Linked DNA regions of Arabidopsis thaliana. The main gene of each other region encodes a partner of the protein of the gene in region 2 in a complex. Each region holds a gene or a part of one and is shown on either strand. Other genes may lie near its edges. A codon is read from its position in the direction of its gene.

Evidence for each region.
Region 1: the proteins of VSR1 (region 2) and CRA1 are in contact, whole or in part, in a crystal structure (PDB 7F2D), measured with the Arabidopsis thaliana proteins. Residues at the interface, in NP_190853.1 of Arabidopsis thaliana: Arg95 (codon at 2,682), Gly96 (codon at 2,685), Cys98 (codon at 2,789), Tyr99 (codon at 2,792), Phe100 (codon at 2,795), Leu125 (codon at 2,870), Ile126 (codon at 2,873), Thr127 (codon at 2,876), Met128 (codon at 2,879), Asp129 (codon at 2,882), Thr130 (codon at 2,885), Pro131 (codon at 2,888); in NP_199225.1 of Arabidopsis thaliana: Arg468 (codon at 872), Val469 (codon at 869), Ala470 (codon at 866), Ala471 (codon at 863), Ala472 (codon at 860).

Annotation. Positions count from the first base shown.
Region 1 is NC_003076.8:17,755,606-17,760,498, forward strand, and holds CRA1 (RmlC-like cupins superfamily protein), read right to left. Parts: upstream 2,732-4,893; 5' UTR 2,642-2,731; coding exon 2,341-2,641; exon of another isoform or gene 2,337-2,340; intron 2,218-2,336; coding exon 1,952-2,217; exon of another isoform or gene 1,828-1,951; coding exon of another isoform or gene 1,822-1,827; coding exon 1,375-1,821; intron 1,260-1,374; coding exon 855-1,259; 3' UTR 633-854; downstream 1-632. Other genes in the region: ABCI21 (P-loop containing nucleoside triphosphate hydrolases superfamily protein), read right to left, coding at 1-67. UniProt on the Arabidopsis thaliana protein: Seed storage protein.
Region 2 is NC_003074.8:19,585,600-19,592,447, forward strand, and holds VSR1 (vacuolar sorting receptor homolog 1), read left to right. Parts: upstream 1-2,156; 5' UTR 2,157-2,399; coding exon 2,400-2,688; intron 2,689-2,786; coding exon 2,787-3,479; intron 3,480-3,751; coding exon 3,752-3,840; intron 3,841-3,959; coding exon 3,960-4,029; intron 4,030-4,122; coding exon 4,123-4,206; intron 4,207-4,380; coding exon 4,381-4,457; intron 4,458-4,556; coding exon 4,557-4,638; intron 4,639-5,059; coding exon 5,060-5,142; intron 5,143-5,233; coding exon 5,234-5,300; intron 5,301-5,562; coding exon 5,563-5,691; intron 5,692-5,783; coding exon 5,784-5,896; intron 5,897-5,995; coding exon 5,996-6,091; 3' UTR 6,092-6,348; downstream 6,349-6,848. Other genes in the region: BGAL2 (beta-galactosidase 2), read left to right, coding at 98-303, 387-498; AT3G52860 (mediator of RNA polymerase II transcription subunit-like protein), read right to left, coding at 6,399-6,533, 6,617-6,732.

The DNA.
Region 1 (4,893 bases), on a different chromosome or scaffold from region 2:
CGTAAGAAAACTGCATTCCACTAACCCTAATTGCACCGTCCACCGCGCTCGCATTTTTCTCCGCCATTTTTTCCGATCAAAGAGTCAGATAGAGAGAGGGAGAGATTAGTAAGTAGTAAAGTATAACTCCTCTGCTTAATCTGTTGGCCTTTAAATACGTTCCGTTTTAAACAAAGACCTTATTAGCCATTAGATTTCGGCCACGTTATGTACTTTTCTGTCCATTAGATTTACATACTTTAGTCTTCCGCTAATACGTTTAACCAGCAGATAGCTGCCACGTCACTCTATGTTGCTCACCGACAAAGAATTAAAACGACGGCGTTACGTCAGTTTTCATTAATAAATCTAATTATTAATTTAAATAATAATATATGGTAAATATGTTTACAAGGTCCCACAAATTATTTATTTATTAATTAGATAAAAACACTGTTATTTTATTGAAAAAATTATGCACGGATTAAATTAGATATTTGAAATTAAAATTAAAGCATTTGATGTATTATAAATAGATAAAGAAAATGAGGTAATATAAATTTGTTAAGCATGACAATATTTTGGCGACTTGTCTAATGTTAATATTGGATTATTATATAAAATAATATGATGATTCAAATGTATTAAATCATAAAAATCAGAACTAGTCTCTATGATTAAGAACCTAATTTAGACCTAGATTTGTATTAACTTGATCGAAAATTGAAAAGATTTTATTCAGAAAAGGAGTTGCATTTTACAGGTAAACCTCAACAAAACTAGTCACATTTTCGTACATTATTATTATTACTACGTACTGTTTAACTTCCTTTTACAGTACTCGAGGTTCATTGTTAAGCTGCAGTTTTAAGCTCTTAAGCTGCAGCCACCCTTGGCCTTCCGTAGCTAGCTGGGCCACTGCTGTGAGTCAAAGTGGTCTCGAGCGTGTTGAACTTGACCCTCCTTGCTTCTTCGGGTGAGATTTGGAACCCATTGGTTATGACTTCAAGTGGTAAACCTCTCAAGACTGAGGTTCGTCCCGCCAGAGTGTTGATTTGCGCGTTAGCGTTTGTTTTGAACTCAACCCACTGGAATCGGTTGCTTGTTGCGCGTTTCACCACCGAGAAACCTTGTGGTACGGCTATGAGCTGTCCTTGAGAGACTTGTCCGTCAAACACTCTGTTACCATTGTCGTTTACGATCTGGATTTGGGCTTCCCCGTCTGTCACGTAAAGAATAGCGTTCGCGTTTGCGTTCCACTGTGGAAGCACCATTGCGTTCTACACCCACACACGTTTCAAGAGTCATGTTTAAATATAGAAATGGACATATTAACATGCATCAGGCATGCATATTTTACTAGGTTATAGTAACATAATATTTATGTTTACTTACTTGACGGATAGATCCACGGAGGGCTGAGAGACGGATGAAGCGAAGGATGGGGAGATCGTAACTGTTGAGAGTGCTGATGTAACCGAGCTGTGGCTTGTACACGTCAGCACGAGACGGGTCATCGAGGTTATCGGTGCACCTGGCGCTGCAGATGGTCTCCTCTAAGCCATTACCGTGTCGTCCATGTCGTCCTTCTTCTTCTTCCTCCTCCTGAGGTCTCTGGCCCCTCAAAGGCGGCCTAATGACACCGAACGGTCCTTGGACTCGGACAATGTTTCCACGGTTGTCATCTTGGTTCTGAAGTTGCTGTGCTGTCTGAAGATCGATCTTCAAAGCTTGAGCAATAACCTCGGGTCCAAATCCATTGAAAATGTTCTTCTGTGGCTGTTGCTCTCGTCCTTGTAGCCATACTTGACCTTGTGGGTTGTTTCCGGCTAAGTAAAATGGCTTCATTCATAAAATACCAAAAAGAATAAACCATATTATTTTTGTTAATTTGTAATTAATATAATGATTCTTTTGTAATGAGGTTTTGTTATATATATATATATATATATATATATATATATATATATACCCTTGGGTTGCGGTCAAGCTGGTTCTGGTGACTGGCTAGATCGAAGACGCTGACGATGACAAGTGGTTCCTGTCCGTCGTTGTAGAACCACTGTGCTACACCGGGTGTTGTGGCAATGGTATCACCGCTCCTAATGTGCTCCACTTTCTGGTGCATGTCACGGAACCTCTGGCTTTGACCTTGACCTTCGAAGCGTGGTTGGAACTCTGATGAGTCTTGGAATGTTTCGGCGCATCCAGGGATCACTTTTCCCATAAGACCTCGTCCTAAGAATGTAACACATAAATTATATAGGTTTAATTAAAGTTGAAAGATTATGGACTAATCCTAAAGAGCATGAACCATAAAGTCATGAATTCGAATTTCGATATAGAAAGAGTCGTACGTACCCTTAGCCACGAAAGAGAGCTTCGCGGTGTTAAAGAAAGAGGGCAAGTAGAGACCCTTAGACTCGATGATGTAACGTGCAAAGGAGACACCTGAGCAACGGAGCTGAGGAGCGTGGTGGTCCCACACCTCGATGCGACCAGCCTCGCTCTTCAGTACGTGTGACGGCTCGAGCGCATTGAGCTGGTCGAGCTGGCACTCGTTCGGAAACTGCTGACCCTGCTGACCCTGTTGAGCCGCGTAGCCATGGAAAAGGATCAAAAGTGTTAAGCAGAAAGAAAGAAGAGAAGAGACTCGAGCCATTTTGTTATTTCTTATATTTCTTACTTTTTGTGGTTTCTCACTTGCATTATGTGAAGCTATTTATAGGGAATTTATTTGATATTTTTCTATTAAAGTTGTTGAGGATAAATTGAATGAGATAAGAACCAGGTATATAGAGTCGACTATGTACAATTTACACTTCACTTAAATTGCTATTTATGACTTCATCCGAAAATGAATTTTGGCTTCACTCTGTAAAAAATAAATGGAGTTGACACATTTCAATTTGCATGGCTTATTCAAGTGCATGTTTCTTACACATCAGCTTTTGAGATAGGCACATTGTATTTGTAATAGGACAAATCTTTATTTTATTATATACAGCGGTTTCATTTCTCTGTTTTTGTATTTGTAATAGGTCATATTGTTTATTTTATTTTATTATCGTAATATATATATATATATATATATAAAACTGTCACATACGAATTGAGAAAATGTTTTATGTTACGATTACGAAAGTCTTTGATGATCAATTATTGATACGTGCAAATGATAAAAAGTTTATACGCATTATTAGATAATGGTAAACTATAAAAAGACGATCGAGTGAAAAGACGTGGCGACAGGAAACAGCTGAGACACACGTGAGAGATGTGGCGGACGCGACGAACATGCTGTGAGACGAGTGTACGGTTGCATGTTGTTCATCATCTGATCTCCCACAGTTTTTAATTTTTTTTGTTGAAAATTTAGTTTCTTGAGATTTTTTCCCCTTTCAGATTTATATTTTTCAAAAGAGTTCTTTCCCTTTGAAAATTCTTTCATATGTAGATACATGTATATATATGAAATTGTAAGTTATTCTAGTTTATCTTTAGTTACATTGTATTGAGTTAAAAAAATCTTCAGTGTTAAGAGTGAATAGATCTTACAAAACGTTGTATATACATTATGTTTTTTATGCGGATTTAAACGCTATATGTATAGCATAATTTTTATCAAATTCTTTTTTGTTAAGGCTGATTTTGTTATTATAAAGAGAGAAACAATGAAAACTTAAAACTATGAAACTCCAAATTGTGATCAAAATTGACTAGAATATATATCTTTTATTGTGCTTAGGTCTAGTTTCTAATGGATCTATATACAAGATTACAAGGTAGCATGACAATAATAGGTAATGGATTATATATATACAAGGTGGCCTGATAGTCTAATAGCCCAAGCGGTACATCTCCATGGTCCAGTATTGGACGCTCTATGTTTGTTCAATTCAATTTTCTTGTGCTCTTCAACTACATGCCGTTTGGCCAAGAGAAAAGCATCATGTACTTTTATAAAGGGATATTGAGAGCAACACGAGATATATGCTTCACATGTAAATGACGCTACACCAAGAATCATTTATGATAATTAAGTTGATACCTAGTAGTTTCTAGACTATTTTATTTGCTTCTTGTAACTGTGAGAAAAAATCTTTAAACCGCTTTAACAAACTTTTTTGTATCAAACCCAAAAGGCCATAACCAAAAAAAATAAAATGTGTCAAACAATTGTTTGGTTGATTGCTAACTGGTGAAACGGCTCGAAATCATCGGTTAATAACTTTTTATTGTGACTGCCTTAACGTGTTTTGAACCGATTTAACCATTTAATCAAACCGACTAAACATTCTACCAAAACAAATTGTTAAGTTGAATGCTGATCTTCAAAACAGTTGGTAATCATCGATCAAAAGGGTTCAAACAAATAAACTATTTTTTTGGATCGACAAGGTCCGATTTATAGACAATTTTTACTATATAGGATAACACAATTTAGTGGAATCGAATTCCAGTAAAAAAAACATAATCAAATAGACTTAACCACTTGACTAAAAGCATATTCCCGATAAATTAAATTTTTGTGATCACAAATTTACAAAATATATTTTCTTCCTTAAACGACCTGTTAATGTCATAATATAACACTACATTATACAGAAAAAAATATAAGAATTCCACCATATGCCAACTTGTTCATCCCAGGCTGTCACTTAGCCAGCCTTGTACTTTTGTCCATTGAATTTCTTCTTTTTGCACCATACAATGAAACAAACACTTACATTTCACATACATGTCTACATCTTCGTGTGTACAATGTATATATGAATAGCATCTATATTTTTGTATTCACGGTAATGTCAACATATTACAATAGGCGAATTTAGGGGATTATCTCTATAGAGGCTATCTAATTTACAATTATGCTTCAACTCGCTTTTTCTTAAGAATTGCGTTCGAATTCAA
Region 2 (6,848 bases):
GGTTTTTGTGATGAATTATAACTATGGATGTTATTGAAATTATGAACATAATATAAGATATAGATTCATATCGGATTCTTGTTGTCTCTATTTGTAGTCTTCTTTTGATACACCGAGAGGCAACGAACCACTGGCTTTGGACATGAACACAATGGGGAAAGGTCAAGTTTGGGTAAATGGACATAACATTGGACGCCACTGGCCTGCCTACACGGCTCGTGGGAACTGTGGACGTTGCAACTATGCTGGAATTTACAACGAGAAGAAATGTCTCAGTCACTGTGGTGAACCTTCTCAAAGATGGTGAGAAAAAAGAAACAATATCCTTCTCTTCTTCTTATTTGGTCTAAAATCTAATTCACATGATTGATTTATTAATGTTTTAGGTACCATGTACCTCGTTCATGGCTAAAACCGTTTGGGAACCTTCTAGTTATATTTGAGGAATGGGGTGGTGATCCAAGTGGAATCTCTCTTGTTAAAAGGACAGCCAAATGAAGCTTCTTACTTCAAATTTTTTCCGGAAGCATGCAGAGATTGTCATGTACAGATATAGTTGCATTCATTGGCTCATTGTGGAAGAATATTATATATATATGTATCCTGCTCTAAAAATGTATTACAATTGTATAAAATAATATTTATACAATAGACCAAAACAAGCCAATCTCAATCACCCCATAAGAGGGGTTCTTCTTCAGGCTTGATCAACTACCCCTTCCTGATTGCTCTAACGTAACTAATAATCATTTTAGCCTCCCATTTTGAAAGGATGAACCTTGGATTGGGTTCTGCACTTGAGAGTGGATGTATTGCATCATCCCATTTGAACCAATCAACATAAAGCTGGCACCAAGAGAATCAATCAAAAGGTCACATTTTAAGTGACATATTAGTAGAAAAACGGCTAGACTTAAACCACATAACGTACCACATATGGATAAAAGTTAGCATGTTCCATCATTCTACGAATGGTCTTTCTCTCCTCTTCAGTCAGCTCCACTTCCTCGTCATTATATTCATCATGAATCTTGCCCCTAAGCCCCATAAATTGCATCACCATAATGCAACTAAATAACAAACTATATATAAAAATAAACAGAAAAGTCTTCAAACTGACCAATTCTTGGAGTCATCATTAGTTTATCTCGCATTTCTTTCTTGGTAATCTTCTTCCCAATGATGTCATAATCAATATGTTTCTCATCCTTATACCACTCCAAGGGAACATCCCCAAATCTATTTCTTGGAGCAACCTACACATCAAAGATTTCGTTTGGAAATGGAGAAAAGATAGTTACAAAATCTAGAATGAATAGATAAAGCATCAACCTCATCGGCGACTTCATCTTGCTCAGAACCTTGGTCACTTCCATATTCCTCACCATCTACTTGTTCACCATCATCATCATCATTATCATCTGATCCCTCATGACCTAATACATGTAGATGCCGGCACAATTACTCGCTCTCTCTCTATTACTTGCAACATACTAGAGCTAGAATCCCTATCACCCCATAAATGTTCATTATAATCTCCCACAAGTATCAAACTATAATAAACCTATATTTGATGAATGTGGTGGTGGTGACCCAAGTGGGATCTCTCTTGTAAAAAGAACAGCCAATTGAAGCAAGCATTTGTGTGGTTTACAAAATCATGCATAGATTGTCATGTATAGATATAGTCACATTTATTGGCTCATTGTGGAAGAATGTTACATGTATCCATGCTCTAATAATGTATTCCTAGTGTATGAAATAACTATTCACAAAATAAACCAAAACATCAAATCTTTTTTACCAATCTTTTGAATAGTTATTTCACTTGAGCTCTGATCAACATTTTTTATGGTATGGTAAAAAATCCACCTCTCAGATAAAGCATCACATCAGATGAAACACGAATTTTCTTTTTCAGTACCGTCAGATTAAAAGATTGCCCACACGTGTTTCCCGTTTACTCTTCTTAGATTCTTATTCAATTTGTACAAACTCTTTTTTTACATATCCACGTTTCCGGAAACGACAAAGAAGAACAATTCAATAAAGTGATAAACCCTTCTCCATTCCTAAATTAAAATAATTAATTAACTCTTAACATTCATGAATCTCTAATCCTAATCACCATTAATAATTTATCCATTAGATTAAATCTTCTTTCTTCTCTTCCTTAACTTAGAAGACTCTTAAATCTAATAACTCTGTTCACTTCCTTCACACGAATCAAAAACAAAAAGCTTCGTACATTTCGCCTAGCTTTCTTCGTTCTAGGGTTTCGGATCTTACTTAATTACCCAAAACCCTTGAATCCATTACTCTGTGTGAGCTTAAATCTCTTACCTTTTATCACTTTCAATCGATTGGGTATTAAGTTGTAAAGGAAGGAACTTGGAATCATGAAGCTTGGGCTTTTCACTCTCTCGTTTCTTCTGATCTTGAATCTAGCAATGGGTAGATTCGTTGTTGAGAAGAACAATCTCAAAGTTACATCACCTGATTCGATCAAAGGTATTTACGAATGTGCCATTGGTAATTTCGGAGTTCCTCAATACGGTGGTACTTTAGTCGGCACCGTCGTCTATCCTAAATCCAATCAGAAAGCTTGTAAAAGCTACTCCGATTTCGATATCTCCTTCAAATCCAAACCTGGACGATTACCAACTTTTGTCCTTATCGATCGTGGAGGTTCGATTTCAAAGTTCTTACCTTTTTAGTTGTTCCCTTAATTGGGTATTCAAAAGATCTGTTTTTGATTCAATTTTGGAACTGAATTTTGTTTTCAGATTGTTACTTCACTTTGAAAGCATGGATAGCTCAACAAGCTGGAGCAGCAGCGATACTTGTAGCTGATAGTAAAGCTGAGCCATTGATTACAATGGATACACCTGAAGAAGATAAATCTGATGCGGATTATCTTCAGAACATTACCATTCCTTCTGCTCTCATTACTAAAACATTGGGAGACAGTATAAAGTCTGCTCTTTCCGGTGGTGATATGGTTAACATGAAGCTAGATTGGACTGAGTCGGTTCCACATCCTGATGAGCGTGTAGAGTATGAACTGTGGACTAATAGCAATGACGAGTGTGGGAAGAAGTGTGATACTCAGATTGAGTTTCTCAAGAATTTTAAAGGAGCTGCTCAGATTCTTGAGAAAGGTGGGCATACTCAGTTCACGCCACATTATATTACTTGGTACTGTCCTGAAGCGTTTACGTTGAGTAAACAGTGTAAGTCTCAGTGCATCAACCATGGAAGGTATTGTGCGCCTGATCCTGAGCAGGATTTTACGAAAGGGTATGATGGAAAGGATGTTGTTGTTCAGAATCTACGTCAGGCTTGTGTCTACAGAGTGATGAATGATACCGGTAAGCCGTGGGTCTGGTGGGACTATGTGACTGACTTTGCTATCCGGTGTCCAATGAAGGAGAAGAAGTACACCAAGGAATGCGCAGATGGAATTATTAAGTCCCTTGGTGAGTATAATGCTTCATTACTTCGATGGTATTTGCTCCTGTGGTATCATTTAATTAACATATTACCTGTGGCTAGAAATTAGTCTAGAAACTGAATAGTATTTTCAGATATCAGCTCATCCATAATATAGAACAACCAATTGATTGATTTAAATGAGCTTACCTTGTATGGCCTTCTTGAATCCTTATATTCACCAAGTGGATATTTTGTTACTTTCAAATTTGTGCATTTCATCCTAAATTTTCTGACTATCAGCTATATATGCATTCAGGCATTGATCTCAAAAAGGTGGACAAGTGTATCGGAGACCCTGAAGCAGATGTGGAGAACCCAGTTCTTAAAGCAGAGCAGGAGTCACAGGTTTGCCTTTTTGTAACTAATTGGCTCTTACACGTCTTCCCAAGATCTTGTTGGTTTTAAGTTGCCATATATTCTCCATTCCTCGAGGTGTTCTTAAAATGAGTCTACTTCAATTTCAGATAGGCAAAGGTTCCCGTGGAGACGTGACTATACTCCCAACTCTTGTCGTGAACAACAGACAATACAGAGGTATTGGGGAAATGTTGACTTGTCAGTTTTTCCTCCCTTTCTACAGCATCTTTCTTATGTTTTTGCTAATTGAATTATCTTTCATGCTTTTAGGTAAATTGGAAAAGGGGGCAGTGCTTAAGGCTATGTGTTCGGGTTTTCAAGAGTCAACGGAACCAGCTATCTGTCTTACTGAAGGTACTATTATCCACGACATTTGCAACTCTATTTTTTTTAACAGAAACCACAGTTCTCTTGATAGGCCAATATATATTTTCAAAACTTGCATTAGAGCTATCCTTAATTCTTTATCTATTGTTTTATATCATGGGAGAGAAGGATAGTTTTCAGACATGCTTCTGATTTTTGCAGATTTGGAAACTAATGAATGTTTGGAAAACAACGGTGGATGCTGGCAAGACAAAGCTGCCAACATTACTGCATGCAGGGTATCATTTGGGCATGCTATTCTTTTCATTTTCTAACTTTTGGTTTTGTTGTTGCTACTATGACTGATTACTCTTATTTGGTATGAATCGGCATTTTAGGATACTTTTAGGGGAAGATTGTGTGAGTGCCCTACTGTTCAAGGTGTTAAATTCGTTGGTGACGGTTACACTCACTGCAAAGGTAAATTATTTTTTATTTGTGTAGCTTAACATGTTTTGTGTGGAACAAGATACAGAACAATGCCATACCCTCTGCTTAGCTTCTGTATTCCACAAGTATTTGTTACTGGTAGTCAAACAATACTCTGATTTGTCCCTTGTCGATATTTTCTTGGAATCAACTTAGATGGTCTATTTGTTGATTTGTACCACCTGCGAGTATAATATCAAGATTGATAAATAAAATTGTCACAATCATTGATTAAATTTTACTTTGAAAAAGTTTACACTTGAAGAAATTCGTTGATGTGACTGAGTGGAAACATTCTAATGTTTTTTATGCAGTTCTACTGAATTTTCCCCTTTGCGTATATCATAAGTTGTCTTACTATAATCTTTGTTAATGTGCATTTTCTGTATCCATATGTTATTTCACTTGGCAGCCTCTGGAGCTTTGCATTGTGGTATCAACAATGGAGGATGCTGGAGAGAATCCCGAGGTGGCTTCACTTACTCTGCTTGCGTAGTAAGTATTTCGCTTCTATGTCAATGTGTTTGAACAATCATCTTCTTAACCTAAAATAAAACTTCTTTCGTTCTTGAAATGGATTTTTCAGGATGATCATTCAAAGGATTGCAAATGCCCACTTGGGTTCAAGGGCGATGGAGTGAAGAACTGTGAAGGTACTTGCTAAGTATTATTTACAAAATATATGCATGTGGTCTACTTGCATATATAAAGAGCTCTATGTCGATTTATTTAGTAGGCATCACTAGTAACATGCTATTAGCCTATTGTTTATATGCATGCATGTCGGTCTAGAATATTTAGTGCAGATACACAATTATCAGTGGAATTTTTTATTGTACTCAATCAAAGAAGTGAGATCATTGTTAAACGTCAAATTCAAATTCATAATCATATTCTTTTGATTGAATGTGTTAGATGTGGACGAGTGCAAAGAAAAAACGGTGTGCCAGTGCCCAGAGTGTAAATGTAAAAACACTTGGGGAAGTTATGAATGCAGCTGCAGCAACGGTTTGCTTTACATGCGTGAGCACGACACTTGCATAGGTAAAAGAAATAGATCTTCCTTCCTCCTAGCCCCATACTTAATTTGGAGTCATTAATCAGACTTTCTGCTTTTGAATCTGGTGAATGTGTAGGTTCAGGCAAAGTTGGAACCACAAAACTCAGCTGGAGCTTTTTGTGGATCCTTATAATCGGGGTGGGTGTTGCAGGTCTTTCTGGATATGCAGTCTACAAATACAGAATCAGGGTATACGATGTTCTTTACTCTGGTCTTGTTATCATATTAAAACATAGGAAGATTTTGCGGTCTAGATAGAGATGCTAAGTAACAATTGAAATTATGCAGAGTTACATGGATGCGGAAATTAGAGGGATCATGGCACAGTACATGCCATTGGAAAGTCAACCACCCAACACAAGTGGTCACCATATGGATATATGAGTGAAGTTATCAACACAAGCCAAGAGACTCTCTCTCTTTCTATGAGTAGCTTTAAGTTTCCATGTAAATGAATCAATGGACTTGATACAACTCTAGAGAAAAGAAAAAAGCCACAAACAGAAATAAGTGTACCTGCACTATTTGTAAGAAATGTGGATTTGCAGATGGAATCTCCTTTTTGTCTGCATATTACTCTTACAATGTAAAATAGACATAACTGGATGAATAATGAGTGTTACATTATTTACTGTTGAAACTAACTTAAGATCCATAAGAAGAAAAACAATAAACTTTGATTGAGAGATTGTTAAACTTTCTCCAGCTCATCTCTGTGTTTCTCAATCTGTTCTTTCACAAGCTTCTGCGACTCTTGGAAAAGCCTCATGTGCTTCTTTATAAGCTCATCTTTTGTCTTAAGCTCTTCCTCCATTACTGCAATATCCTGTTAAGAACAGAACAGAAGAGAGCAGAAACTGGTAAGACAATATGTGTTTGGAGTTTTCACATTGGTAAATCAAACCACACCTTCTTAAGGCTTTCAGCTCTCGAGGGCGCGCGATCTTCTCGCTTTAGTCCCATGAAGTAAAGCTGAAGCTTTTTCGCAGCTTCCATGAAATCTCTGGCGTGCCGCTCCACATCAACTGCAGCAGTTCAATGAGGGGAATTAAGCTAGAACATCGAATATGGAATCAAAGCTTCGGTTTCAACTGAATTCTAAGCACAAAATTCACTGAGATCATAAGTTAAGCACAAAAAC